Linked DNA regions of Drosophila melanogaster. The protein of the gene in region 1 interacts with the protein of each later gene in a pairwise test. Each region holds a gene or a part of one and is shown on either strand. Other genes may lie near its edges. The genes, in order: CG3088 and CG4069.

The links.
Region 2: the proteins of CG3088 (region 1) and CG4069 interact in a two-hybrid assay, tested with the Drosophila melanogaster proteins (one large-scale study listed by BioGRID).

Annotation. Positions count from the first base shown.
Region 1 is NT_037436.4:9,593,657-9,608,935, forward strand, and holds CG3088 (uncharacterized protein), read right to left. Parts: upstream 7,670-15,279; 5' UTR 7,650-7,669; coding exon 6,891-7,649; 3' UTR 6,834-6,890; downstream 1-6,833. Other genes in the region: CG42673 (uncharacterized protein), read left to right, coding at 1-123; Tmc (transmembrane channel-like), read left to right, coding at 4,198-4,428, 10,186-10,322, 10,395-10,435, 10,756-11,046, 11,275-11,402, 11,671-11,775, 12,093-12,281, 12,360-12,490 and 6 more; CG3222 (uncharacterized protein), read left to right, coding at 5,417-6,556; CG3306 (uncharacterized protein), read left to right, coding at 7,940-8,806.
Region 2 is NT_037436.4:12,529,311-12,545,523, reverse strand, and holds CG4069 (uncharacterized protein), read left to right. Parts: upstream 1-8,208; 5' UTR 8,209-8,301; coding exon 8,302-8,415; intron 8,416-8,479; coding exon 8,480-8,785; intron 8,786-8,843; coding exon 8,844-9,264; intron 9,265-9,323; coding exon 9,324-10,012; 3' UTR 10,013-10,098; downstream 10,099-16,213. Other genes in the region: sowah (sosondowah), read left to right, coding at 119-121, 1,203-1,205, 4,147-4,236, 4,337-4,342, 5,062-5,134, 5,378-5,902, 6,948-6,974, 7,036-7,709; Pmm2 (phosphomannomutase type 2), read right to left, coding at 10,105-10,869; CG34242 (uncharacterized protein), read right to left, coding at 11,281-11,457; Tsf2 (transferrin 2), read left to right, coding at 11,912-11,972, 12,046-12,473, 12,553-12,686, 12,752-12,912, 12,972-13,423, 13,487-13,651, 13,718-14,776; nst (nesthocker), read left to right, coding at 15,489-15,589.

The DNA.
Region 1 (15,279 bases):
CAAAGAAAGCTATCGGCCACGCCCAGTTTCATCACACGCAGCACCAGCGAGAAGGTGCCCAATCGCAGCCAGATGATGAGCCAGGTGCAGAGGACCACCTGGGCCAGGCACACCACCAAATAGGAGCAGGGCTTCGAAACGCCCAGTGGACCAGGTCATAGGTTAAAGGATACGAAAAGTGGAAGTGGGCGTGCATGAGGAACGAGTGAATGAGTGGGTGCAACAGTATTAATTTAGGAGAAATGGAAGCCTACTTTAGTTTTGCATTTTAGGTGTCCTAGCAGAACGCATCGCTGGCGTTTAGTGTGCCAATTATTTGCCCAGCTCAACGTCCGTTTAAGTGTAATATATCTATGTAATGTATATCTATTTAGCAATATCTTCTAGCTCAAAACTGTGCCAAAGTCGAAAGTTTATAATACTCGAAAGTTTGGTTAGCTTCCGGGCCAGCAGCGATAAACCTTAAGTAAAAGTATTTGTGAAACATAATCTTAGCATATCAGCAACGAAGAAACTTACTCAAGTTCGCAATAATCGTTTGAAAGTATTTTCTCTCCCCTAAATGAAAAACTATATCTATACACCTAGTGATTAAGCTAATGAGTCTAGTCTAAACTGATTAAATTCGATACTGTTATTTTTGTAAATTGTTGTATTTTAATTCAATTCATGCGTGACCCGCATAATCTTTATTCGCAAAAATGCAATAATCATGGGGAATGCATTAATTAGTTGCCAGGCTGAAAAGTTATGTGTAAATTACAATTTCAAATATTCATTTGAATATGGAATATAGGCGGCAAAAATGAACGGCAAACAACCAGAAATAATAATAAAAATCGCATAATTATGTAAAAACCCTTGGCACTTGTTTCCAGTCGTTTATATGTATATTCATACTCTATATACTGTCGTTAATAATTGAAAGTTAACGCCAGACTGGGCAATTTCCCTAATGACTTTTCCGACACAAAAACATGCAGCACACTTTTAAGCGCATTAAGCATCCGCCCCGTGGGACGGTCAGTGTATGAATTTCCCTCCCTGGATAAATGAAAAACGATGCCGTGGCCCAAGGAACAGAAGCAAAAACAAGTGTCGCCATTTTTCACTCTACACTCGGCAGTTGGCATTCGTTGAGTTTCTTCCGAGTTTTTTTCTCTTTCCCAGTTGCCTACGGATTTCGCTGGTGGGCAGCAATTTGCGCACATAACTCATTTGCATAAATTTACACACTGACTTTAACGTATTTGCCCCACCACGCTTAACGCTACCACACCCACCGATTTTCCATTTCCCATTTCCCGCAGCTATCCTCAACGGCGAAAGTGGCCCGATGGTTCCAACAACTACCCTGGCACACCGCATCCTTGTCCCGTCCGGAGAGCGGCTTCGTTTCCGGCGATTCGCGTTCGGAGAAGTATCAGGAGGATCATTTCTACGGCGGCATCGCAAAGGAGACGGATGATTTATGCGATGAGTTCCTGCTGGTGGAGGGCAGCAGCACCATTTGGACAAAGCTGAGCGCCAAAAAGCGTCGTAAATTGCTCGGCATGCGGCTGGGCAAAGTGACAACGTTCTGAGGAGGTCCTTGTTCACATCATCGTCCTCGGATTCACGTAATGTGTGCGTTTATTAGCTGTTAAGTGAGTTTTTAGCATAGCCCTAAGTGTAGCTTTGATAAATTTCTGCATAGGCATAGCTAGCTAGTATGAAAACCAATAGACTAAAGGACCAAATTAACCCAAACGAAGCGAAACGAAACAAAACGGAACGTAACGGAACGACATGCTCATTGAGATGCCATGCAACAGGCATAGGACATAAGTCAATTAGTGAGCATAAAACGTAAGCTCAATGTGTATTTAAGTATTAACTGAATAGAAGTATTTGGGCCAGTAAGGAAACACGGTGAGAATCTTGTGGCCAATTCATTAGGCGAACAAGCCACGCACATTAATCATACGTCACGTAGCCAACCATACACACCTACTGCCAAAAGCCAAAAGAGCATTAACTTGACCAACTTTTCGTGTACGAGAAAAACTGGTTATTAAGCTAAGCAAACAAGGGCCAGTACCACAGCAGCAGATTCAACAGAAAAGGCGGTGAAAACGGGGAAAAACAGAATGCGCAGGAAGGAGCTTTTCCGGTGCACCCCGTACCAAAAAGATCAAATGTTTGATATTCATAAATTTCAGCCAGCTCCACCGTTTTTATGCATAAATCGATTCTACTTTTACGCTTGGCAGTCCCTTCCTTGCCCGTTTTTTTCCCGTTTTTTATTTGGGTAACTCTATAAATTTAAGTCAGCTGCTGAGGGAAAATGCAAACCGAACTTGCGGCATACGCGGCGTATAAGCAATTTACTCAAAATTTATGAGGATTTGTTGGCTATAAAAAGCGGGGTTCGTAGGGTAGCTAGACACATACTACTTAGGTGGGTAGCTGCAAAGGTGTTGTACTGATTGCACTTCACCCTTGATGGGTTAAGTTAGGGATAGTATAGCCAGTTAGGGATAGTTGAATATGCAGAGATATCTGCGAAACACTGACAATCATGGGGGTGAACGAAATTCTGCAATTTAAATTTGAGTGAAGCTAAAGCCGGCCAAATGGTTTTCAATCATCATCAAACTCGGTCGAGTTTTTATTGCATTATTTGGTAGCTCTTTCGTTTATTGCGCGGCATTACAATGAAAACTCGATTTTCCTAACGGTTTTATGACATTTTCGCAATTTAGGTACGAAATTTATAAATGTCAGAACAAAAACACAAATTAATTTACGTAAAATGGTTTTAGTTAATTTATGCAAAACGATTTTTGAGACTGAAACTGAAATTTGTACTAAGCATAAAAACAGGACACAGAAACACACGAACACTTCACACATCACACATACTCGTACATCCATTCATGCATTTCGCAAACAATTGCGACAAATAGGAAAAGTTTTTATAAGCTACTTTAGCCTAGCCTTTAACCAAGTTGAATAAATATAAGTTGCTCTGGTTCAACGCAATAGAATAAAGTGAAAATAATAAAAATTAAATGCAACATGCTGGGCAACATGTCCTTATTCAGGTCCTGCCACTTCCAATGCCGCCGCTGCTGCTGACACTTTACAGTTCAATTAATTTAACGCGCTTTGCATGTAATAGAAAGGCATTGCATATCAGCGGGGCCAGCAGACAAGGATGTGCCAGGACATGGCGCCGGAGGAGCCCAGTTCGCAGCAGGAGGGCTTGGCTCGTATGGAACGGCTGTGCCGACTAACAAGCGCATTCTGGCCAAGTGGCCGGGGCGCGGAGGAGATATCATCTACGCAAACTAGCATGGGCTCGACTTGGCAATACCCCCCACTGGGATAAACATATATTCCCAGCTTTCGTAGGTATTTATGGTTAGTTGTACTTCGAAGAGAACAGTCGTTGGTAATGTCAAGTCATTCATTGCTGGGAATTGATGAAGCTTAAGATAATATCAAGATTAAAAATAATAAATGTATAAATAAAATAGCAATTAAACTTTTTATTGAGTAGGAAAAAGACTCATCCTACCAATTACGGAGTAACACAATTAGAAAACAAAGTGAAGGCACCTTTTGTGCGCTCATAATTAAGGACACTAAGGACACAACGCAGCGCACTAATGGAAGGCGCAAAAATGTATGAAAATGAAAAGTGAAAGTATAAGTCAAAATGAAAAATGGCCTTTTTTTCCCCGCTCACATGGCGAATGCGACATGCGATATTTTGTGTTTTCGGGGCCGAGCTGTTGACACTTTTTGGGGCAGCGGCAGACATAATTACACAGAGGTAGGCCGCGATGTGACCCTGAAAGCAGGAAGTTCACTTTGTGTCATGTGACAGCCAGGAGAAGCAGTTGAAAGTGCCGCGTGTCCTGTCCAACGTCATCGTCATCCTGTGGCCAAACTAGCAGGACTCGCTGGACTCGCTGGAGTCAGAGAAACGGACACCGCACACTCACATGGCACATTCATTGTCACTTATCGCGTGGGTGGCGCGTTTAATTCACATTTTATTTCCAGCGCCCGTGGCTGCGCGCGTAATTGTTGCTTCAAAGTCCTGGCCAGGACACGGATGTAGTCAGTCCGCGTTGGCGCTGCACGGCGGTCGTGTGTGCGCGGTGAATAATCGCGATTCGCAACGTGAGTGTGCGCTCCTTTTTGGCCATGCAGAACGACGAGGAACCAGCAGCTGCAGCCGGAACTTCGGGGCTAAGCAATGGAGAATCCTTGCGGAGTCCACCGGCCCCGGCTCCACGACGACCCAAGCCAGGTATCCTGCGACTGGACATCGGCAAACCGCGACGCTCATCAGGTGGTTCCGTCGATTTCCGATGCGTGGGCAGCAGCAGCAGCAATGGGAACACCAGCAACGTGGCCACTGGCGCCAACAGTGAGGTAAGTGAGCATGATTTACGGCCCATTCGGGAGTGCTTACGATTTGGCCTGACCAACAACGACGACACGGTCTACGGAATGGCTATATCCGAGAGCGGACCAGGAGGATAGGTGGGAACAGCAAGTGCCGCTGCCACAGCCAATAGCCATAAACACCAATCGCACTTAACTGGCTTTCGCTTCTGGCCGGGTTAAGCAATGCAGCTCGACCCGGTTGGCTGTTAAAATCATTTTGTTTTACAACCATCGGTGGACAGGTGGAGCTATTCTTAGGTCAATGCAGAAGTTTCGCTTGACAGGCTTAGTAAAACTTAGAACTTAGAATTTTTCGAGCATTGGTTTTGAGGCTCTTAAAAATGAATTTTCAATTTAACTGCATTAAAAATTCTGTACATTTGCATAATTTAAGTACTGTCTCTCTTTTGCTTAACCAAGCCTCGACTCTTATCTCCTCTAAGTTGTAAACATTGCTAATGAACTGAACGCATATCATGTGTGGTTTTCCTGGTCTAACTTTAAAGCTCATTAGTATAATTTGGCAAACTCACTCTACATATGCATGCAAAATCTCAGATCACCGGAGGTCTCTACTTTATGGTAGTTAATAAACAAGTTAAATCACTTGGCTACTTAGGCAGCAGGTAGCACAGCAAATAGCACAGCCAACTTCACATTGCCACACAAGGGTATCCCAGTGTTCATTAGGCCAGACATGCGACATTGGCCAAAACCGAGTGGATGCGGATGGGCACACCCTGGACTCGGGGCTCGGTCAGTGGAGGAAGCGGGAAATTGGGGATGGGATCGGTCGAGTGGGGCAAACATTTATTTAGTCATAAAGCTGATGCGTAATCTCAACAAGCCAGGCCATTCCAAGTGGGTCAGAAGTTTGTCAGTTCGCACGTTCGAGTTGGTTTGGTTGCTTCGACTACACACACAAAATTCGTCCCCACACCCCAAACACAGAGAAACAAAAAAAGTTGAGAAAATGTCGCAGCTGAACGCGGAGACCCAGCAGAGGCACTTCATCACGCGCAGCAGTTATGAGGGCGCCTGGGATAGATTGGTGAATGTGATGGACGGATTTGGAAGCTACCGCTATCCGGATGGGAGCGAGTATCGAGGAAGGTTCCATCAGGGTCAGTTCCATGGCTATGGCCATTTGCGACTCGCCCAGCCGTACCGCTTTACGGTTAAGGGTGAGTTCGAGCATGGTCGCCTGGTGACAGTGGAGGACATGTGGTTTTCCGACGGTCTGCATGTGGATGGCAGATTTAATGGCATGGTCTTGCAGTGCGATGAATGGGATTACCTGACGCCCAAGGATCGGCGTTATCATGCCGAGCGTCGTTATGGCCAACAGCCGGTTGGCCCCACTGCCTTTCTTACATCGAAAATGCAACCCAGAAATATTCCCGAACATTGCTATGATGTGGAGGAGGGTCTGTTCAATAGTAAGACCTGCTGGTTGACGGACCGTCCGAGTCCGCTCCATCAATTCATGTACGTGAGCTGCCCGCAAGATAAGGATTGGATTAAGAAGAATTGCAGGAAGGCGAGAACATCGCGTATAATTGAGCCACCATCCGACTTCTGTCGCCGCATTATAGCCAACAATTTGGCAACGGAACGAGCACAGTTGCGAAGCACGGCCATATATGCACCCAATGGACAAGTGGATCGGGAGCGATACTTCCACAAGTTGACCAAAAAACGTGGACAGCCGAATGAGCCGCTGGAGAACATTCCAAGGCGTCCCATGCCCGTCGACGATCCCGCCTGGGAGACGGAGATGTGTGTGCGTGCCTATGCTGGGATGTTGGATAAACAGCAGAAGGATCAAATGGAGTTCAAGCGCGTGCATCCTTGCGCCAAAATGGAGACGGTGAAGAGACCACGCCGATGGTCGAGCACCTCAGATGTACGCAATCCGCAGTCGGGTGGACCCTCCAGCTGCCAGACGGACAGCTTTGGCGAGGATGAACTGGTCCTAAACTTTGAGGAATCATACCGCTCGGCCAACAACATGATGAGGAAACGGACGGCGGATAACATAAATGTGGTGCAATCTAATCTAATACGCCGCAATAGCTACATGGACATGACCCGGTCCATATTCGAGTTGTAGATCCGCCGATCAATGTCTTTATATATGTTTTTTTCAATTTAAAATTTAAGCTTAAGAGCTCGGAGAGAAAATGAATGCAATTACTTTGTAATCTGAAAAATAAAATTCAACGTTTTTAAAGTTTCTTAGAATACTCGTAGTATTTGTTAATAGTTTAATGGTCAGTAGGATCATATTCATTTTAAGTATATTTTGCATTAGTATTCAGTACAACCCACCGGACTTTGCTGTATATTAGCCAATTTTTTTTTAAAGTAGAAAAGACCTTATAAGCAATAAAATATCTATGCAGGTATTGGACATTTTTTATTAAATGTTGCTACTATTTGACCCATTAGTAGGCGATTCCAGTCCTTTGATGGATCCAATCCAGTGCGCTGGTGATCCTAGCAAATCCAGCGGGCAATCCCAAGGTGCACCCGTTGGAGGCCACAAATGCGGAAATGCCCACCACGGTGGAATCCTGTTTGGTGATCAGGGGGCTGCCGGCATCGCCAAAGCAAGTGGATCTGCCGCTGGGCGTACGGGTGCACAGGATCTGATCGGAGACGGTGGTGGATCCGTAGAAGGCGATACACTCGTTATTGGACATTATCTGAAGGTCGACGCATTGCAGCGCATCGGTGAGTCCATTGCTGAAGGTGGTCACTCCCCATCCACAGACATTTGCCCACCAGTTCTCGTAGCGCTGGGATCGATTTCTCAGTGATGGAAGGGCCACCCGGTTGACCCGGTTGCTGAATCCGACTCGAGGAACTCGAACCAGGGCGAGATGTTGATTACCCGTAACGTACTCACTAGTTCCCACTGTCACCGTAAACTGGGCCTGACTCAGCCGGGTGGCTCCAAAGTAGATGGTCACTCCGGAACTGCCCGTTAGACACTGAGCGGATGTAAGGATCCAGGTGTCGCCTATAATAGTGCCACTGCACCAGATGTTGCTCTGTCCAAAGGCCATGCCCACCACATAGGGTGCCTGACCTTCATAAGCGGGGCTTCCATTGGTTATAATGTGATCAGGATCCTCGGAATCCTTCTTAGCACTTCCTGCTGCGACGAGAGTGAGACCCAAGAAAACTACCAATAGCTTCATGATTTCAAGCGAAGGTTGTTACTGCCTAGTTAAACTGACGAGTTTATATAGATATTCACTGGGTAATTAGCGAACATTAGTGAAATTTCTTTGATTATCTTGAGGGGCGTTACTCATTTAAGTTATAATTATTTAAGTAAATTGCCATTAGTGGCATCATATTAGTTCGGCAAAACTTGTTATCTCAAATAATATATAGTAAATTATTTGAACACCCATTTCAACGAACATTTACTCAACTTTAAAATTGTTATTTTTGGTATACAGTGTAAATAAGCTTTCTAAAAATCATGGAGCAGAAGACAACAAAATCTTCAAGCATTACCCAGGTTGATATTCTGTTGACTGGATCCAGATACGTTGGTCCCAGTGATGAGTTGGGCATGCAGGAGATGGGTGTCTACATTTATCCGGATGGGACATGCTACACGGGAGAGTTTCTCAACAATCGTTTCCACGGAAAAGGCACCATACAAATTCCTGATTCCTTGGGCGTTACCTATCAAGTAACCCATCACAATGGCAGACTGGTCTCGATCGATCAGGTTAACTTCAATGATAGTCTGCCCGTCGACTTTGAGATGAAGGATCATTACACGATGAGTTTCAAACCCTGGACGTATTGCACGCCGGAGGATCGCCGATTCTACCAGGAAACCAAGGAGCCTATGGATGCCGTCGGTCCGAATAAGTTCCAGTCCAAGGACGGACCAAATCCGCTCAACCTGGGTCGCAATATTTTCGATCTGGGCTTCGGACTGCTGGGCAATCGTGGCTTCATGTTGGATACAAAGACGTTTAGCAACCAGAGTATATATCTAGGATGTCGGGAGGCTCGTCGCTGGATCCGAGAGAACTGTGCCCATGGACCACTCAGCAAGCGTCACCACAAACAGAAGTTATTGGCCCGTTTTGCCCGTGAGATCATCCGGAACAATCAGGAGAATGCAGGCTGCAGCCAAAGGGAGTTCATGACCAAAATCCATCCTTGTAAGCACTCCACCAGCTTGGATAGCTTCGCTTCGGAGCGTCTCCATCTGGCCAGCACTACGGATTCCACGACGTCGGAGGCTCAGGCCATGGGTTTGCGTCATGAGGAGTTCCATGGCAATTGGACAAGAGCGAAGAGCGAGAGCAGCGTGTGTCGCATCAACTGATTGATCCTTTGAATTTTTTGTTACTTTCGCTTCTACTTTTCGATGTGGCCTTAAATTAATATATTGTAAATCGTTGGTTGACCCACATTCTGTGACCAACGCCTCCATGTTAGGAGCTCTAGATTTATGGCCAAGTCGCGAAAACTGCAGGCGAACATGGAAATCCACTTAGGCCTAAAGGTGTGTGCTTTCCTTTTCTTTTTCTTTTTTACTAGGTCATCGGGTCCATGGCGGCATTGAACCTTTGGCTCAAATGTTACCTTAAACCTGGAAAATTGTAAACATTTAGGCCTAGGCCACCGGCACAGCGGGTAATGAACCCATAATCGCCGAACATTATTGCTACACGTGCACGGGGGCGTAAAGATAAATTTGATGTTAATTAAAGCCGGCCGAGAAATCCATTTAATTAAAAGGAACGAAAGTGAAATCAGAGAAAGTGAAAGGCAAAACACAGAGAACACAGTGGAGAGCGCCAAAACATATATTTCAATAGTGGGCGCTCCCCCAGAAAAGCACACAAGCTAACACACACACACCGGAAAATGGGGGAAACAGGCAAGAGGATAAAGTCCGGGAAAAACCTAGAATTTCGCGATTTTCTTTATCAACCCTTGCATGTTTGATTTTCATTTACATGGCCGGGCCAAGAATACAAGGTGACTCAATATCACATACACACAAGCGCCATCTAAATGGACATTCGAAGTCCTGGCTGGTTACGCCCGGATACGGCGTTGTTATCACATGCCGTTGGCAATTTTTACACTCATTCGTCTTCGTTCCAACAGGGCGAGGAAGTCAGCCACTCGGACCCGGACTCCCGATCCCCTTCAGCCACCTAGTCGCAATGTCCTGCCGCATGTCCATGTAAATTCCTTTAGAGTGTGTGCGCTTGTGTGGGTTTTGGGCACGTTTTGGCTTTGATAAGTTGCCCATCGTGCGGGGCGGGGCGGGGGGTGTTGGTGGTTCGTTCTTCATTCATATTCATTCATTATTAGAAAAATTTAAGTTTCACCTGTCTGTGTGAGGTGCCTTCGTGGTCGCCGTCCCTTTGGATGATGGTCATTTTGTGCCTTGGTAGCCCTGCCAGCCAGCTAAGCCGTTCAGTCTGCGCACAAGGCTGCTCCAAAGCGCTTCGGCTTATAACTGGCTAAATCGGGAGCAAAAAGTGCTAGCTTGTCCATTAAAGGGATTTTCTTTGAGGGCACTAGAAGAGATGTAACACATAAATTGCACAGCAGTGAAATTAATAAATAAGCACTTAACAGCGAAGGTCATTCCGCACGCAAAGAGTACCAGTGTGATTTGAGTAATTAGCTGTCCCGGAACAGCACTTGAAAATTAGTTGAGTTAAGCTGCTGCCCATCCATTCGTAGAACAACTCGGGAGTCACATCGCCTCATCAACTCTCTGTGACCTGGGCACCGCCATGCGACTTGGATAGAGGTGGCTGGCAAATGCAGAGCAGCGCCGATGCCAAGAGGGAATTCTACAAAGGACAGCGAGGCAGGAGGTGAGTCCTTTAAAGGGATACCTTGGACCATCACTATCTCGGTCTCTGCGTTTCTATTAACTTCCTTTAAAGAGCTGCGTCACAGGAGGACCACAGATCCTACGAACTGAACGGTGCGTAACGTATATCTGGTTAAATATATATAATAGCTAGCAAACCAAACTATAGTTTTTTATTAGTTGTTATATACGCTTGTTTAGGTATTTTATTTAAACATTTAATATTTAATAAGTTAAATATCTTTATTTGTTTCTAGCATTATTGATTCTATAAATTACCAACAATTTTTTTTTTTAATATTTTGCATTAAATTTTGTTATCTAAATAAAAGCATTTAAACATTTTGGTTAGCAGTTTTAATGCAGAGTAATCTTTTCTGTCTGTGTTTAATATAAAGTAACCAACTAATGACCAAACACCACTGCCACTCCAGATTTCCCATTGCAAAACCAGAGCAGCGACGCCGAGAGTTGCCACCAGGAGCCTCACTTTGCCCACCAGCGTTCGCCTGGAATCGGATTCGACGAGGATGGCGGCGGTGGCGACATTGACGATGAGGAGAGCTACACAATTTCCGTATCGGCAATAATGCAGAGACGTGCCAGTGTGCGCGGCTATCGGGGCAAACGCGGCAGCCGGAGTTCGCGACGTGCATCCAGTCCCATGGATCACGTTCTGGACAGTGTGGAGCGACGACGCTCCAGTGTCTATACGACAAGTTCAGGCAAGTCTGTGGTCCGTGGCCCATAAGTGTCCAGAGCAGATTTCGTTTAGTTAACGAGCGGACTGCTCCCCGGTCCTTCTCGGTCATCCTCAAGTGGCAAGCTAATCAACGTCTGGGGGCCTGTTTTCTGTAATTTTTCATGCTACGTGCGGACCGTTTTGATGGCGTGGCATACGGGGCGTATGTGTAATCTGTTTGCCTTGCTTTGACTTTCGTTTTACTTTGCAGAGGAGGGCACCAATCAGGAGTCAACGCAAGAGCAAATCTTTGAGAACATCCGCCTGCACAAGGAGGTCATACAGTCGGTGAAGCTACAGCCATGGCCCATCCGCAAGAAGCTCAAGTTGGTGCGGCAGGTGGGTATCCATGGTTTTCAGATGGGAGTGGAATTGAATGGGGGATTTGCCCAAAAACTGGGCGCGTTCGTTTTCACGCCGCTTGTCAGGTCGTTGAAAATGTTACGACCGCCTATCCTTCCTTCCTTGCAAACCTCACCGAACACTCATCAAATGCTGAGCCAAACTTTTCGATTTCATTCTTTATCTCCCATCTTTCGCTACACCCTGGAATTTTTAATGATGTTTGGACTTTGCGGATCCTGCGGCTCCTTGTATGTGTTGACAGGCCAAAACATATGTGGCACGCCACGAGGGCGCGCTCCAGGAGCGCTTCGCCATGTCACGCAGCACCAGAGACTTGTGGGCGAGGTTTAAAATTTTAATGGCGGCAGTAAGTGATTTTGTAACCCCCTTCTTTATTATTATTTTTTTTTTTTTTGGAGGAAACGCCTGCAGAATGCGAAATGCAACGAGCACAAGGCGAAAGGCCCCCAAGCCATGCAAAAAAATATTAATGTTTACACAATTTATGGGCCACTTTCCGGTCGGGACGGACATTCAATAAATCCCCACTGTTCGCATAGTTCACCGAGCTATGTGAGCCCCATGGCATTCTCGCTGTGCTGGGAGACCAATTAAAATGCGAACTTGCCGACTGCCATTCCTTTCTAGAAATAAATCCTTTCTTGCATCCGACATTTTCTGCAGCGATGGCGACACTGGAAACGTGAGACGGCCAGCTTCCTTACCGTCCTCATTCCCTGGGAGCTGCGCATCAAGGAAATCGAATCACACTTCGGCTCCGGCGTAGCCTCCTACTTTACATTCCTGCGATGGCTTATGTGGGTCAATATCATGATTGCCATTCCGCTGGTCGCCTTCGTCATTGGCCCCGAGGTGAGTGTCCTCAGAAGTAGCCAATTCGTTTGCCACACACTTTACACACAATTATGTTTCCGCTTGGCTTTGTTCCAGTACTTTGCCACAAAGCACGGCGAAACGGATCCCAGGAAAAGGATGTCCGACCCGGAGGCTCGGGTGGCCGGCAATCTTTTCACGTTCTGGGAGTTCGAGGGATACCTGAAATATTCACCTATGTTTTATGGGTAAGCCAGACTGGTTTTTTGTTGGACAAGGGCTAAGCTTCCCTTTCAAGTCAGTCTGTTTAAAAATAAATCAATAATAATTCCTTTAATTCATTTGCCTTTTTAACATAACATAACTTTGGAAGAAAATTATGTTCTTATGTAAATATTTATTTGTTCATCTTAATTATAAATTAGTTATGAGAGCTCTATTAATTGCTGGCAATATCCCAATATCATCCCTCCTCTTGTTTTCCTATCCCCCAGATACTATTCAAGCACATCCGGCATTAGCACGTCCGGATATAAGCTTCCCTTAGCCTATTTCCTTACCGCCGTTCTGGTCTACATCTACAGCTTTGTGGCCACGTTGAGGAAGTGAGTATGGTGGGAGCACAAAGAAATAGGGGTCAAGGGGTCATGGGTATGGATATGGTTCCCAGTGTGTTGGGTAGGCACTTCATTAAATACTTGGTCATCGAAGCCGCAAAAAGTAAACTAAATGTCAGACTGCTCGTTAATTAATTAAACAAAACTAAAGCTCTGATTAAATAATACAAATCTTGGCCACGAGGCGTGTCTGGGGGTCTGAAAAAGTTTCGACGCCTCAAAATAATCAAAGGAGAAAGCATTGGCCATTATGATTTACGCACGCACACAACAGAGCACGTGCCTCGAAGGGGGCTGGCAGTGAGGGGCGGGACAGGAAACGGAAACGGCAAAACGCCATTTTGAGCATTGGGCGTCTGACACGCTTTAATGGCTTTGTCGGCATTATGTTGATTTCGTAATTGAACAAAGCAGCAATGTCAACAGTGAGCAGCCGGCACTGGCCTTTCCATATAGCCACTTTTGCGGGTCACGTGCTCAACGTGCGTGGATTAATTCAATCGCAATGCTATACGGGATTCAAATTGTGGGAATTGCGGGTATTTCAGAACAAATTATGACTGAATTTCCACTTTTGATCCATCGACAGAATGGCGGAAAACTCGCGCAACTCAAAACTTTCCTCGAAGGACGACGAGTGCGTCTTCTCGTGGAAGCTCTTCACCGGCTGGGACTTTATGATTGGTAAGTGGCCGGCGTTGGTTCCGCAACGAGCTGCCATCATCACAAGTTTTGCATCTCCCACAGGACACGCGGAAACGGCGCACAATCGCATCGCATCCGTGGTCGTGGGCTTCAAGGAGGCACTGCTGGAGGAAGCGGAGAAAAAGAAGGATAATCGCAAGTAAGTCGCTGCCAAACTGAAGCTATTTACTTACCATAATCGATACGCCATGTCCTTTCAGCTGGCGGGTCATACTCCAGAGGATACTGGTCAATATACTGGTGATGGGGCTGCTGGGCTTGTCGGGCGCTACGGTCGTGCTGCTGGTTAATCAGTAAGTGGATTGGGGAAATGGCGATGAAATATGCACCGAAAAATACTGATTTAAATTCGTTGATAAATATTTATTTAAATGAGAAATTAAACATTTATATGAATTATTTCAAAATTGCTTTCTTCTGTAATTCTTTTTATTTACAGCTCTGAGGATTTGGCCAAGCATGACAACTGGCTGAGTCGCAATGCGGTGAACGTGACCATGACCCTGCTCTCCTTCTTCCTGCCCATGATATTCGAGGCACTGGGTCTGTTCGAGAACTGGCATCCCAGGCAGCAGCTGCGTTTGCAATTGGCTCGGTAATAAAAAAACCAGTGCTAATGATAAATAATTGTATATAACTGAAGCGCCCTCACTTTGCAGCATTATGATCCTGAACATGTTAAACTTGTACTCGCTGATGTTCTCCTTCATCTACAAGATCAACAGCAAGGAGAAACCGCTACAGATGTTGAAATTGGAGAACGAAACAAACACCATGGAGCTAAAGAATCTACTTAGTTCAATTGAGGCTCTGAGGGCCATGACACCCACGACATCGCTATATGGTGAAAGTACTTCGGATGGGCTATTCGATGACTCTACATCAACGGCAACTTGGGGTGAGGATGGTGGTGGCCTCTTTTCGACCACAGCGGCTGCTGCCTTAATCTCCACCACCGTGCAGCGTCTCAAGTGTTACAACATGACTGTAAAATGCTCAAAGCTGCGGCGCAACATCATCAGTGGCAAGCACTTGGCCACCACTCTGATGGTTCTCAACCTGACAACACCAGCCATGGTGCCACCAACTTTGCCAACCACATTGCCCACCACATTTCCCACCACATTGCCCACCACATTACCCACTACATTACCTACAGCATTGCCTACCACATTGCCCACCACATTGCCTACTACATTGCCCTCCACATTAGCCACCACAACGGCGACGACTTCAAGTATTTGGTCAACCACAGAGGAAACATCTCCGACAACTACAACGACATCACCTTGGACCACGTTACCGCCCTCGACAACAACCACTGAGGCAACCACAACGACTGAAAGAGCCACCACAACCACAGAAGCAACGAGCACAACCACACTGAAGATCACCACTGCCGAAATAAATAGTACACTATCAGATACTACAAAACCCCTGGGAAAATCTATTGATACTGAAATACCCAACTCAACAACGAATTCTGCCACTTTGAGCACAATACCAGCCACTTTAAACACCACTAATTTACCCCTGAACAGCACCACCAAACTAACTACAACCACATCCACGGAGAAGCCCCAGGGAGAGGATAACTTTATCTACACCACCGGAGAAGATGAGGGCTCCTACGATTATGGCAGTGATTCCACATCAGACGCTCCGGATAATAATAGCTACTCCGATATAACGGATTACTCTTCGGAACCGTCGGA
Region 2 (16,213 bases), 2.9 Mb from region 1:
ATCTACACTTAACATATTATTTTTAATTACCATTTCCATTCTAATGCTTTCTTTTTCGGTCACTTACAACCATGTACAAACATCTCCCCGATCGGAAATTCCAAAAAATAAAAAACAGGGCGTAAGTATGAACATGACCACTCCGATATGTAACTAGCTCGGAAAAACAAACACAAATTAAACTCGCATTAATGTGCCGGTTGCCAGGCTAGAAAAACATGACTTTGTTGCTCATTATTTCAAGATTGTCGAGCTCTTGACAGTCGAAAATGGTGCGAGTGCAACATTAATGATAAATTAATTTGCGAGTAATCTCCAGAGCAGTGCGCTGACCACCGATCGCTGCTGACTCTGTGATCCGAGGTGCAATTACGCCAAGGAACCGAACCAGCGACTCTTAATTATAACCAGAGCTGGCCATGTTGAACATGACAGTTCTCGTGTCCTGGCGATTCATCAAAATGACAGCTTCTGGGTTACAGCGGTCAACGTTTTGCGGGGTCCGTCAAGCGATACCCATACCCCATACCCATTCGAATTCCCAGACCCATTTTCATAGCCATTCCCGTGTTATCAGCGCTATATCGAATTTCGATCAAAAACGCCTCCCGGCGACGGAACGTTGAAAAACCAGGCGCTCGACTTTTGGCGCTAAACGAACATCCGCACATCGGAGCCACATCTATGCCACCATGCCACTTCACTTCATCTGCACTTCATCCTGCAGCCCGCATTGGAATTCCAGTTCCGATGACCGACCCTCATTATCATACATAGTTGGCACCATTAGGGCTTCTTGGCTTTGGCTTTGGTGCACAGGATCCTTTTGCACAGGAGCAAGGACATCGGCTGGTATGACTGACTAGCTGCAATTTCGTCCTCGGGATATTCGCGATATCCATCTGCCAGAAAAATGAAATGAGGGGCTGTAATTGCCGTTGAAGCTGCCTCCTGGATGTGTTATTAACTTGTTAAGCGAAAATGGCACATATAATGGCCACTTGTCGGCCTTATCCAAATCCTGCCCAGAGGATCCCTGTGTCCTCTTCATTTTCTTGCTCTCTTTTTTTTTTGTTGTGTGAGGAAGTTAAATTTGTGTCTGTTTTTCTGAATGGTTTTGTGCGCCCTATTTTGGCTCTAATTTTATTAATTATGCTTTTTTTTTTATATTTCATATGCCCAATGAATGTTGCGGAATGCAGTATGTAAGTATTACTATGTTTTTGCAATATAATTATACATAACAATTTAATCGATCAACTTGCAAATTATATATCTAAATACCAGTATACTATCATAACTATGAATTAGCCTAAGAATAAAAGCTCTTCCTACATAAATCTACAAATATTTCATATCTAGTTTTAAAGTGCCTTTCGAAATCATAAGTACTTTTGGGCAAGTAAGAATTGGAACAGATTGGAATGTTAGAGATTTAGCTATATAAACTTAAGTTTAAGCGATCCTCTAAAATATTTCGAATAAACCAGTCGTGAGATAAAGCAACATCACCCTTGGAAAATGCTGTTCTTAGCCACCTTGAGATAGTCCTTAAGAAGGCTTTTCAAACTGCTAACCGTGTGAGATATTCGCAAACATCCTTTTATGATCATGAAGCAATAACGGATCAGGGCAAACACGGTTAAATGTCGCACGACCTAGGTATTGGAATCTTCGCAGCTGGAATTTCTGGCCACTTTGGGTATGCGATGCGATGGGATGCGAGGGCAGGAAGGATTCCGCATCCGAATGCGAATCTAAATCCACGACGATGCAGTGGTTCGTTGGTTGGCGGTGTGGAGGATCCGGCGGCGAGGCAAATCGCTCTGTTTGCTTGCGGTGTGCCAATACAATGCCAAAGCTGAACGAGACACAAGAATTTATGGCATTTCACTTTCAAAGACACAAAATTCCTGTCCCTTGCCACCATTAATGGAATGGACAATAAATTTAAACGTGCAGACGGACAACGTGCCATATGTAAAAAGGCAAAGGCTCAAGAAACTGAAACTCAAACTCAGACACTGTAGCGGCAACTTTCCGAAATGGCTAAAATCGCTCCGCAGCCCGGCGAAGTGCGCGTGAGACGATTTGTAAGCCCGGCCCAAACCGGTCGCTGCAAAAAACCTTTCAGCATCTGCCATCCAGTTGGCTAACAAGGCGATAATCCACGGACAATGCCAACTTCGATGCGAATCTCGGCCCTTTTATAATTAAACGCAGGCGGGGAAAGATGAAGACAGCTTGGTTATAAATTCTATTTTCTAATAATTGCGGGAATAGCAACTGCAACTGCAAATACCAACATCAATTAATTATCTAAAGGAAATATCTATCGATTAGCTAGTAAATAGTATCATAAACTATCTTGTCAATTCTTCATTTATTTAGGATTTCATTTACGTTGCCAGAAAGTAAAGGCATTTTTTTCATAAATTAATAGTATAAAGTGTAATAAATATTAATGAAATATTTCATCACATTTTATGAGTTAGAAAATAACTTAGAAACCCTTTTCACATCGAATCGAAAGATATGCCAAGGCTAATCCAATAGAAATCAATCGAGATAGCAGCAAATGCTGATTGCTTTATTGTTTTCGCTGAGCAAACTCAATTCATTTTTTGCCACCATTGTCGCATCGTTTGAGAATTTAATTCGCCTTATCTAATGCGCTAAAAAAATGCGCTAATTGAATAGAGAGGAGAGTCGGCAGAGTAGCACTGTAACCAAATTATATACACATTCCAACGCTGCTCCCGCTGCCCCATCTGCCAGCTTCTCGCTGAGATTACCAGATGCCCAGTTCGCGATTCCCAGCTTGCAGCTCCTGGCCGTGATCATTGGTTGTGGTCGAAAGACAATGGACGAGATTAAATGCCAGCCTGGGCAGATTAAGATGCATCGACAGCAATAACTACGTCAGCGGCGGGAGCTGGGAGCTGGAAGATGGAGATGGAGCTGGATGTGGATGTGGAGCTTCTTAAACGGGAGACACGAAACAAATTTCCCTTGAAAAGAATTACATACCGATCGCCAGCATCGGCCAGACTATGGGAATTGACTGAAGATCTGAAACTCTATTTGTTCTTGGGCCGTTCCCGTTTGCGATCTTCCGATCTTTCGATCCTCGCGTTTGTCGCGTTTGTCCAGTAAGTCCAGAAAGTCAGGAAAGTGACCGTCTTCATTGTCAACACATGGTGGATATATGTATGTATACATACATGTACGTGGGCTGCAGTGCGGCGGCAAACAATTCTATAGAAAATCAGACATGCACCGCCGCGCGCCGAGATGGAGATGCACTGGTGCTGGCGGGATCTGGCCAAGATCTGCGCGGCCAAGATGCTCCAGCTTCGGCTACAGTTCCGTCCCAGCCAGCCAGCCAGCCAGTCAGCCAGCAAATGGCTTATCGCTGCCGAGCGAATCGTTTTGCCATACTAAATTATTATGTTAACATGAAAATAATTGAGGCAACAGGCATTCGGCGGTGGCTGGCCAATTTATTTATATCGCTGAATCTCGGATACGGCAGCTGGGTCGAGTCCTCAACCTCAACCTCGTCCGTGTCCCTGTCCGCGGGTACGATGCCGAGTTCGGCGGTCCAGGGACCAATTGATGGCGGTACAAATAGTTCCAGAAGTGGGGCATCTGCGTCGCGATTGGGACGCCGACTACCGTTCAGATGGCGTGTTCACAATTAATCCCTCAACAAATATCTGTGAAAACTCAAAAAAAAAGGGCAGCTAGCAATCAGCTAAATGTAACTAGCAATAAGTAAGATGGATTTAAATGGCTTAAAACAAAATGCTACCTTGAGTCAGCGATACTCTATATTATGTGATAAGTTAAATAAGTAGGACACTATAATTCCAATGTAATTCAATTTCAAACGATTTATTATGTAATTTACATTATTATATGCATACTCTACTGCCGAATATCCATATATAAATATTTAAAATAGAATAATACACTTCTATATGCTTTAAATAACTAAAATATGTTAATAATGTCACATTACTTAGTTTTAGATTTAGTTTAGTGGTTGCTTTGAATTTGGTCTGCTGCCTGCGCATCATTATCATGAAATTTGAAAAATTCCCCTAGACAGACATACTAATCCCCTACTAATTCCATTTTCAGACCGCTCTACACTGGGCAGCGAAGCACGGAAACGAGGATGTGGTTAAACTAATTGCCGGCACCTACAAGGCGGATGTGAATGCGAGAACGGTAAGCGATTATCTAAGATGCAGACGTGTAAACTTCATGATATTAAAATGCCCCATTATTTCCATGTGATCGCCTGCGCCAACTGTTGACTTCGCTACAGAACGGGGTGAGTATGTGTGTGTGTCATGTGATGTGTACATCTATTTTGGCCATTTTAATAATATATACGAGAGCCAACTTATTGGCTTGTCCCAGTCGCGCGTGAATCGGCGTCATATGTCACCGAATCGCGACTCGAAACATAACCCTTTCCCGCAGGAATTCTGCATTTCGGATAGAGCAGGCTGTGACAAATCATGACGAGCATATCCAATTGGGCCTCACCAGCATGTCACCTTCCTCCCGGGCAACGCAATCCTTTCGAGTTTACAAAATTTTAAATTGAACGTCGCTTTGTTCCGGCGAAATTAAACTCACTCAATTGTATTCAAATGTCACAGCCACATTTCAAAAACAAAGTGAATTGTCAATCACAATCCGCAGGATTCGATGCGCCTCTTGCCCCAAGAAAAAAACACAAATCCCAAAATGGCAAAACACGCATTTGATAATTCACATGGGAATTTAGAGAATTTAACTCTTTCAGCAGCTTGAATTTTAATTCCTACAAAATGAATAGTTACTAGAATATTTTAAAGTATTTTATGAACTATTTAGTTTGGGATTTTATAATTTACATTGAAATTTAGAGCGATTTAACTCTATAAATAGCTTGATTTGTGATTCCTACAAAAGTCTAGGTTACTAGAATATTTTTAAGAATTTTATAAACTATTTACTTGCATTTTTTGATTTACTACTATTATTATTATTACTTTTATTCAGGGATACACTCCTCTCCATTTGGCTACCCAGTTTGGTAGGGATAATATCTTTGAATTACTCTGGAATGTCTACAGTGAGTACTAATATTATTACTACAACCAAAATACCACATTTAAGCAAGCAAAAGGTCATAAAAATTAATAAATATTTATTCATAATTTTAAATGCTTATTATATTGCTCGAAATCCTTTGAAACTTATAAATACTTTGAACTTTTAAATTGACTTGCTCATGTGCTATTTATAAACTTTACTGCTTTCATTTACTTAAGAGTTGCAAAATGAACTGAATTATTTGTTGTTGTCCATCCTGCAGAGGCCAATCGGGACATCATGGACTGGAGCGGCAACAAGCCACTGGACTACAGTCGCCAGCGGTCGAGCGTCTCGGCATCGACGTGCAGCAGTGAGTATGCAAAGTATTTCTTCGGTGCGGATGTGGGCAACAGCTTCCGCACGCTGGGCTTCATTGAGAGTAGTCAGATCACCGGCGGTACACTGGGCAGTGCACTAACACGGGGCAAGAAGCGGGCCCAGAATCGGTTTGCCACCATCAGCGGTGGTTCGCTTGGCGGCGTCGGTGGTGCCGTTTCCCGCTCCCAATCGATGACGGTCAGTCGGCGGCCCAAGAAGCAGCCGGGTCAGCCGATCTCGGGGATCTTTAAGCCCGCCACCGAGGACGGTGATCTGTTGCCATGCGAAATGGAGGGGCAGCCGGTGCCATTCCGTGGCGCCAGCACGCGTCGCAAGGAGAGCTTCCTGCGCAAGACCTTTCGAGCCACCGCAGGTGGCAGCCGTCGGCCGTTGGCCAAAGATGTATTTACTAACCCACCGGAGCACGGTTAATTGCTATCCTAAAATCTATCCTAAACATTGCGCTAATGTATACTACTTATATGTATGTCAAAACAATGTTACAACAATTGGTTGGGGCTGTACTATATTATACATTCTATATACTTTTAAACTGTAACTGATCCGGTATCGGTATCTACATATCTATGAAATTTTGTATAATCACTAAACTTTACTAGCTTTTAAGTACCAAAGCATGGCCTTAATATAGTATATATTTTTTTACCAAGGTGTATTAACTTAATGTAAGCAATCACACTTTTGTGTACATAAATATTTATAAATAATCGCATGTGTATCGCAAGGAAAAACACAATAAACTACTGGCCCCTTAAAAACAAAAGCATTAATTTATAAATAAGTACTATAATCCTAAAAAAAATTAACTAAGTTTACAAAGAGAATGCGCTTTGGGAGATAATAATAATTTACCCTCGTTTGCAAACATCCATCAAACTTACTGAAATGTAGAGCATACAAACCCCAAATCGACTCAGTAATTAATGTCAGTAAATGGGATCCAATCTATCTATCTATCTATCTATTTTCGATTTTGCTGCATGTAGAGATACAAGCGATGCGATTCAGCGGCGGACTCAACGGAACGTGGAGGCAGGTTGAGATCTAACGATCTTGAGTATTTCAAAACCCTTAGTGTTGATTTTGTGCGATGTTCAATTTATTTTGCTAGCTTTACGTTGAATTAGCCACATTAGCTTTTATATATTTAGCCTGTATATATATATATATATTATTTGCTTTTTGTACTTTGGTAGCTTTAAAACTTGTATTTTAGTTATATTTTGCTAGCATTTGAGTTGCATTTCCCGTTTGCGTTGCCAATTTGGTAAGTTTTCTTTGTATTATTTTCAATGTTTATGCTCATCGCTCGCATTATTTTATAATTGTTTCCAAAAAGTCCGCTAACCAAAGGCAATATTTTTCAGTTTATGCACGTTCATTTGAATATTGATTAATATAAAAAAATGAATAAATATTAATGAAATTTCTTTGTTTTGTCCACTTTGCAGAAATCAAGGCTCGCAAAAAGCATGCAAGTAAGTCACTCTTAAATGCAAATGAAATTTTATGACTAAGTATAATATTTTTCCATTGCAGTCGAAAAAGATTTGGGCTTCCTACGGATTGGTTCTCTGAATGTCCGGGTAAAGAAGACCACCGAGGCGTTCAGCAACTTCTTGGGAGTGGGCAATGGCAGTGGGGTGGCGCCGACGGGCTATGGCAATGGCGGGTCGGCGGTAGCAGCAAATCGCCATCACCCTCGATCTCACCGAGCCCCTCATCAGCGTCATCATCACCACGTTGGTACGACACGGAGTCGCCATCCGAATCAGAGGGCAGCGATGAGCACACCCTATGCCACGAACGGCGGCCTTCCGTCGAGGGCGAGTGTGCCCAATAGCCGGAACATCTACGATGGGGTGCACAAGTCGTGGGGATCGGCGGACAATATACCGCATCGATCGGAGGACCTAATGCCGCCGCCCAAGGCGGTGGAGTATATCAGCAAGCGGAATAAGTCCTCGAAGCGTTCGTCCTATGCATCGAATACCACCGATTCGCCGCGTGATTCCATCTGCTCCTCGAACTCCAGCTCGAATCTGAATGGTGGCTATAGCAGCATGCCTACGACCCCGAATCAGTTGCGTGCTCCCAAGGGGATCGCCGCATCCTTCGCCGTGGACTCCGACTCGGACTCCGCCTGCGGATTCGACTCAACCTGGTCGGTCAATTGTCGCGGTTCCTCGAGCAGCAATCCTTCGCAATCCTAATTACCTGAATATTGTTGTTAGCACAGTCTACATACCACCATACAACTTTTAACATTGACCATGGAATCGTGAAAGTATTTGTTTTTCAATTAACTAATATATATACTTTAAGCATTGACCATTATTTAGACGTTACATTTTCTTGTGTTTGTATCTAAAAGTTTGTATCTTAAAAGTATCCAACATTTGTTATTTCCTATTTTGTGCCCTTTTCTAGGGACATCCAATATAATGTTTCATTTAATATGTGTATTTTTTAATCGAAAATAAAGCTTGTATGCTTTTTAATGCATTTATGAATTAATTGTATTGATATTTTATTTGTTATTACTCATAATACAAATTTACCCGAATTTATTTTTAAATATCCAAATCTCAATATTTTGAGCAAAAAATTCAGAATTTAAATTTTTTCGTTGCGCGCGCACTTTTCAAAAATAACCGTTAAGACATTTCTCATAATACCGTCGAAAATACTGAAAATATGGTAAACTAGAAGACAGCTCTTCCTCTTCTCTTATTTATAAACGCTACACGTGCGGCAAAAAAAGTTTGTTGATTTAAATTTTTGAGCTGAAATAAAACACTTGACATGGGCAAAAAGGACAAAAACAAGAAGAAGGGCAAAGGGGCCGAGAAAACGGCCATGAAAACGGACAAAAAGCAGGCGGCGCGGCAGAAGAAAATGCTGGAAAAACTGGGAGAAGTACGAACAAAAAAATGCAATAACCATAACATTATGTTTACTAAACGAATAATAAACTTCACAGGCAAATATAGCTGATATCATCCAATTGCTGGAGGCCAAGGAGGGCAAGATTGAAGCCATCAGTGAATCCGTTTGCCCGCCACCAACTCCACGATCCAATTTCACCTTAGTTTGCCATCCGGAAAAGGAGGAGCTCATCATGTTTGGCGGCGAACTGTACACTGGCACAAAAACCACAGTGTATAACGATTTGTTCTTTTACAACACCAAAACCGTCGAGTGGAGGCAGCTGAAATCGCCATCGGGACCCACGCCCAGAAGTGGACACCAAATGGTGGCTGTGGCCAGCAATGGAGGAGAACTCTGGGTAAGTTATCAGCTAAAGAGATCTCCGTGAAAAGTTAATTACCATATGCACTCTACAGATGTTTGGTGGCGAGCATGCCAGTCCCTCACAGCTGCAGTTCCATCACTACAAGGATCTCTGGAAGTTCGCACTGAAATCCCGCAAATGGGAGAGGATAGCTGCGCCCAATGGACCAAGTCCTCGGAGCGGACATCGAATGACCGTCTCCAAGAAACGCCTGTTCATCTTCGGTGGCTTTCACGACAACAATCAGTCGTATCATTACTTCAATGATGTTCACATCTTCTCTTTGGAATCCTATCAGTGGCTTAAAGCGGAGATAGGAGGTGCAATTGTGCCATCTCCACGTTCCGGTTGCTGTATTGCAGCTTCTCCGGAGGGAAAGATCTACGTGTGGGGCGGTTACTCGAGGGCCGCCATGAAGAAGGAGGCGGACAGAGGAGTAACACACACGGATATGTTTGTCTTGAGTCAAGATAGTAAGATTTAGAATCTCTGATTTATATTACTTATATTAATATCTCCTGTTTCCGTTCAGAAAACGCCGGCGATGCAGACAACAAGTACAAGTGGGCACCCGTGAAACCAGGTGGATATAAGCCCAAGCCGCGTAGCAGCGTCGGCTGCACTGTGGCTGCGAATGGCAAGGCCTATACCTTCGGTGGCGTTATGGACGTCGATGAGGACGACGAAGATGTGCACGGACAGTTCGGCGATGATCTCCTGGCCTTCGATTTGACCTCCCAAACATGGAGATTGCAGGAGATCCAAACTAAAAGCAGCAGCGCTGAGAAAAAGGATTCGGAGGAGAGCAAAGATGTGGAGATGTCGGCTGTTGATAAGCCAGTGACCACCACCACGGATGGCATTTTCACGGTCACCGTTGGCGGTCCCAGTACCAGTACCACGCCATTCGTGTCCAAAATACCCAGCCTATTCGCCAAACCCAAGCCGACGAATGTGCCATCTCCGCGCATGAATCCCGGCATGTGCGTGTGCAAGGGAACGCTGTATATTTTCGGTGGCATCTTCGAAGAGGACGACAAGCAGTTGACCTACAACGATTTCTACGCCCTGGACTTGCACAAACTGGAATGGAAGGTGCTAATCCCCAATAGCTTGAAGGGCCACGAATGGGAGGATAGCGACAGCAGCAGCTCCGACGAGGAGTGCAGTGGCAGCGAGGAGGATATCTCCAGCAGCAGCTCGGACATGGACACGGATTAAGAATTTCCAGTGACTATATATTAAATTTGGTTAACAATTGTACACATGTATAAAAATGGAATATTTTCAACTGCTGAGTAAGCTCGAAATTCTCACAGCTCCAGAATCTCGGTGAGAATGCGTTGCGTATCCTTGGGAGTATATACCCTATGGCTGATGGTTCGAGGATCGCTATAGATCTCATAGTCATTGCCGCCCGGCTCCGTTTTATCGCCAAAGAAGTGGATTTCCTTGAACTTGTAGTGCGCTTCGATGTGTCGCAGGCAGTAGGTCTTGTCCCAACCATGCGGGAAGACATCGAAGCTGATCTGACCACCAATCGAGTACGTGAGATCCACATCGGCAAACTCCTGCTTCAGGTCCTTGATCATTTTCTCGCGCACCTTGTGCTCAATGTCGTACTCGGCGAACATGTTGCGCTCCTCCCGAGTGCACTGCCTGCCAATGGGACAAACGTTCATCATGCCATTCCGGAATTCGATAAAGGTGCCCCTCTTGATGGGCACATCCAGTTCGGACAGATAGCGCAGCACAAAGTTGATGAAACGCTTCACCGTCTCCTCGCCCAAATGCATGATGATATTCTGCTTTCCCACCTCCTTTCCGCCCTCAATCTGCACCAGCCCATTTTCCGGGAATATGAAGTCGAACTCGTTGAGTATCTTCCTGCCATTCAGCTGCTCGAACATCTTCTCCAGATCCGAGCCTCCGACGATTCCGATGGTCGCCCTCGGCTTAACCCGCGAGTAGAAGAACTCCTCGAACTCCGGAGTGACCACGGATCTGGGCATCGTTAACGTGCCGTCCACGTCGAAGAGCAGCAGGATTTCATCACGCTTCAATGCGGCGGTGGTCATTTTGCATTTAAATTTTGTGGTAAATCAGCAGGTGTTTAATATCCAGATATTTATGTCCACGTATGATTCGAGATAAAGAATTTTACAAGCGGCAACGCAGTGGTGAGAAATCCCCTAAAGCTTTCGATGCACCGGCAAGGGGAACCAGTTCCGGAATCCAAGTGCAATCAAAATTAATGTTTTGAATTGCCTTTTACGTTAGGTTTACTATTTAAAACAATGAGAGTATAAACATTCAAGCACAATCATTTGGATTTTCCTGCATGTATAGGTAACAGTTTAATTCATGGAGTTCATGCTGTCAGGGTACAAATAGTTTCTATTTTAATAGCAATTTGTACATTGCAGTTCTTTATCAGGCAAACTAGAATACACATATTTGGGTTCTTAAGTGTAGCATAACAGGGGGTTCTACTGCCTTTTAATGTGCTGCAGTTCATCTCTCTTGATTTTGCTGTATTCCTGCAGGGTTTTGTATTTCTCAGTGTTAACCATGGGGTCCACAATGACGGGGTATAGGGTGAGGCCCACGGCGCCCACGATGCAGGACACGAATCCAACGAATCTCCAACCACGCAGGACTGCCATTTAGCTAAAATATGGAATATTTTAGCTGACTTTTCGGTTTGTTATTATAAAACACAAAACACCTGGTTGACCGTAAGATGCTAGAAAACGCCAAGTGTGTGGTCACACTACTGTGGTCACCGGTGAAGTGCAGTAAATACTACAGAAGAGATAACCTGATAGAAAGTAAAATATAAATAAACAAGATTACTGTATATATAATAAAAATAGATATAGGTATAGATTAAACTAGAAATATCCTGAATGCTAAATATGTTTCTTGATTCATATCTCACTTAAGCATTCTCCACTGTGTGTACCTGTTGGTATTTTTTGAAATCATGTCTATTTCTGCCCGCTCTGGTTACACTGGCTTCCTTGAGCTGGGCTTGGGTGTGGTGTTTTGTTTGAGTAATTGTTTTTGCAGATAGATCTTTTTAGTTAATACACTTATTAATATTCTTATATCCCGAATATGGCTAGCAGCCTCGTTTTTGTGGCTCTAGTCGGCGCCTTATGTTTTACGCTCGCTAACGGTAAGTTGCGGCTGGAATACGAAAGTCGCCCATTTCTAGGGCGTTGGCATGAGTTAAAACCACGATTTTGCAGCACAACATCACTACGATGAGCACAAGACCACACGGATGGTGTGGTGCACCAAGAGCCAGGCGGAGCAGTACAAATGCCAGAACCTTACGGTGGCCATCGAGCGGGATCGGGCACTATTCGACGAGGTGTTCCTCAATCTCACCTGCTTCATGGCCTACAGTGCGGATGAGTGCATCCATCACATTGATCGCGAGAAGGCACACATCACCACGCTGGATGCGGGCGATGTCTTCACTGCTGGACGGTACAACTCCCTCATACCCATTATGCAGGAGAAACTGGAGGGCGGCTTTGCGGACTATCAATCCGTAGCCGTGATCAAGAAGGGATCTCTACCAGACTTGAACAATCTGCGCGACATGCGCAACAAGAGGGTGTGCTTCCCCTGGGTGGGCAGCTTGGCCGGTTGGATTGTGCCCATTCACACGGTGAGTAGAACTCCTCTTTTAAGTTGATTGTTTATTTGTTTCATTAGGCAACTAACAAACAAATTTTATCGTTTTGCAGCTCCAAAGGGAGGGCGGCATGGAAGTGGTGGACTGCAACAACCAGGTGAAGACGGCCGCCAGCTATTTCAATAATTCGTGTGCTGTGTACTCGCTTTCCGACAAACACAATCCAATTGGCGACAACTCCGATAAGTAATGACGCATAAAAGCCACAATTTTACACACATTAACTAACAACAAATCAATTTTCAAACCAGACTTTGTACGCTTTGCACTGGAAAGATACCCGGAGGACGCTGCTCATCTGCAGATCCCTACTTCGGCTACGAAGGCGCCTTCAAATGTCTGCTTGAAAAAGGAGATGTTGCCTTCTTGCGCCATTCGACTGTGAATGAAATGCTGCAAACCACCGAATTCAGTGAGTTACCAAAGGGAAACTTCTGAAAACCCATTACTGATCTAAGCTGCGTTTTTTAGAGAACATAGCACCCGACACTTTTGAGCTGCTGTGTCGTGATGGTCGTCGTGCCTCCATCAACGATTATCGCCAGTGTAATTGGGGCCAAGTGCCCGCCGATGCCATTGTCACATCTTCGGCTCGCAGCTTCAGCGATCGCAAGCAGTATCAGCAGTTTTTGAAGCGCATTGCCGAGCTGTACTCCGATGGCACACGTGATGATCAGAGCAGGCAGGGAGGACAAAGCTTCAACAGCCGCAACAACATCAACGATCAGAATGCCTATGGCCAGTTCGATAATAATGATCCGTACAGAACGCAGAATCAATACGATCAGTATCGCAGCGAACGATTGGACAGCAGTTTTGCAGAGGAAAGAAACCAGCAGGACGGCACGAACACTTCCATACTCTATGAGAAGTTCCGCATCTTCGAGTCGAAGCGCTATGGCAAGCCAAATTTGCTGTTCCAGGTAAGTGGATCATATTTTCCGTGATCCGAAATACATACTTAACATTCAATTGTTTTGTGACAGGATTCTAGTCGCGCTCTAACCGTGATTCCCGAAGATGATCAGTCATTTACCAAGTACCTAGGCCCTGCCATTAACTTTATCTACGGCATCCGTGAGTGTCCAGTTCCAGCGATGACGCTTTGCGTGACTTCGGAGAATGAGCTTGATAAATGCATCAAGATGAGGGTGAGTTGAAGAGTGAATATATGGATAGCAAGATGAGTTGATGATCCTTTACAAAAACACTTTTAGACTGCCTTGAAAGCTCACCTCCTGAAACCAGAACTCATCTGCAAGAAAATGCACTCCCACATCAACTGCATGCAGTTCATCGAAGCGGGCAAAGCAGACATCTCCGTTTTCGATGCCGGCGATGTCTACACTGGTGGCCTCAACTACGACCTGGTGCCCTTCATGTCGGAGGTGTACAATCTGGGCGAGCCCGAGTATTATGTGGTTGCCGTGGCCAAGGAGGATGATCCCGATACGGAGCTAACTTACCTGAAGGGTAAGAATACCTGCCATACGGGCATTAACACCGCCGCTGGCTGGACATATCCGATGGCGCTTTTCATCTCGAACGGCTGGATTCGTCCCTACGGATGCGATTCGGTTCGAGCTGCCGCGGAGTACTTCACCAAGTCGTGCGTGCCGGGTGCCATTAGCAATGAGTACAACACCGGTGTGCCCTACGACAGCATGTGCGATCTGTGTCATGGAACTAGCTATCGCTATTGTCGTCGCGATGCCTCCGAGGAATACTACGGGCACACGGGTGCATTCCGTTGCCTCGTCGAGGGCGGCGGTCACGTGGCCTTCATGAAGCACACCACGGTGATGGAAAGCACGGGCGGCAAACGCAAGGAATGGTGGGCCAGGAATGCCCTAAACGATGACTTTGAGCTGCTCTGCACGGATGGTACTCGTGCCGAGATCCAGGACTACAAGCGCTGCAATCTGGGCAAGGTTAAGGCCAATGCTGTGGTCACCCGCGGCGGAGTCAACTACAACGAGACCCAGATGAATGCCTACATCAATCTGCTGACCTATGCCCAACAACTGTACGGTCGCAAGGAAGTGGACGCCTTCAGTTTCAGCATGTTCTCCTCGCCGATCGGGCACTATGATCTGATCTTCCAGGACGCCACGCGGCAGCTGCAAGTAATTCCGCCCAATAAGCGCAGGTATGATGCCTATTTGGGCAGCGATTTTATGCGAGCACGCCGCATCACCGACTGCTATGCTGGTGCCTCCCAGTTGGCATTATCCGTGGGCCTGCTCCTCGTGGGTTCGCTGGTTGCAATGCTCTAAGCCACTAGACTCACTTAGATTTCAGAATTCTACAAGCATCTCTAGCACAAAGAGAAAACATATCAACATTTTTACATTCCAAATATGATTAAGTTAAATGTGAAATCCCTTCCGTCCGAAAATGAAACTCTAACTAGCCGAAAAATATCTGTTGAAGGCTATAGTTTATAATTTATAAAGTCCTGTGCCTTATTATAGTATTTGTTTGTGTACATACCAACTAAGACCGTCCAAAAAATGTACCTAGGAGATGTAAGCCGAATCTTTTACAACCGCTTATGTAAGTATACAAATAAAATAACTAGATAAAGGAGTTATTTTGCTTATTTTGAATTAGTATCATTTGAAGAATCCTAATATCTTGACCGCAATTGTAGCCGCCAAATTCAAATTGAATATGTGCGCTAACATCGCTTTGAAACATAGATGTTATTGAAATTTACGCTGGTAAATATTGCATTTAACCTTAAAACACTCTGTATTGTTTATAAAGCCAGTAAAATGTTTGAAATTAAAGAAAATAGCGTAGTTACAAGTTTCAGCGCAGTGTGACCGCTTGGCCGCATAAGCAAGGGTGGAACAGTGCCGCGAAACGACGGTCACACCCGCCTGCACACATCTGTGGAATTGTTAAATTTCGAAAGTCCGGAAAAACCGGACGGAACCTTTCACCTCGCTCTGGACCAGTGGCACCGCCCTCGAGTATCGCAAGATGTCTATTAACCTGCGCACCGTCTACGCCTTCGCCCGCGAGATGTACCCAAAGACCTCCAAGGAGACCATCCAATATGGAACAGCTGGCTTTCGCGGCAAGTGAGTAGTTGCCTCCATTAACGATCTTAATAATCATCATAATCATTATGCTAACACACCCACACGATGCACACGTTGGCGCATTTGATTAGCACACGGCGATTGTTGGTGGTTTTTTTTTTTTTTTGATAAATGGGCGGTTGCAGGGCTGTGATGTTGGAATTTGGCGTTTATTTTTAGATATTGTTCACCTTTTATCAATGGACATGCCCTTCTTTCGCCGTTATGTCTGCCTGTATGTGCGTAAGTGTGCGTGCATGTGCATATGTGCATACATACTGACGCACAGTCGCGGGCAGCGAACTAGTGCCACATGTGCAAGTTGCAATATTTTCAAATCTCAATGATTAATAACTTGTTATTTGTGAAAAATGAACCAACTAAGTATTTGATTACATAGTTTGTGGTTTCCGCGCCCTTATTTTCTAACCACTTTACAGCCAGATAACAAAGTTTCCATGACACACCTACTGATAAAAGCAATTGCAACGCCTAAAATGAGCAATACACAGTGCTTCTATAGGCTTATCAATCCAGCGAAGATAAAATAGATAGCTAAAGTGATAACACACATATAAACAAACAACATTAGGTACAAAACATTTTCCAACTCCAAAATACAAG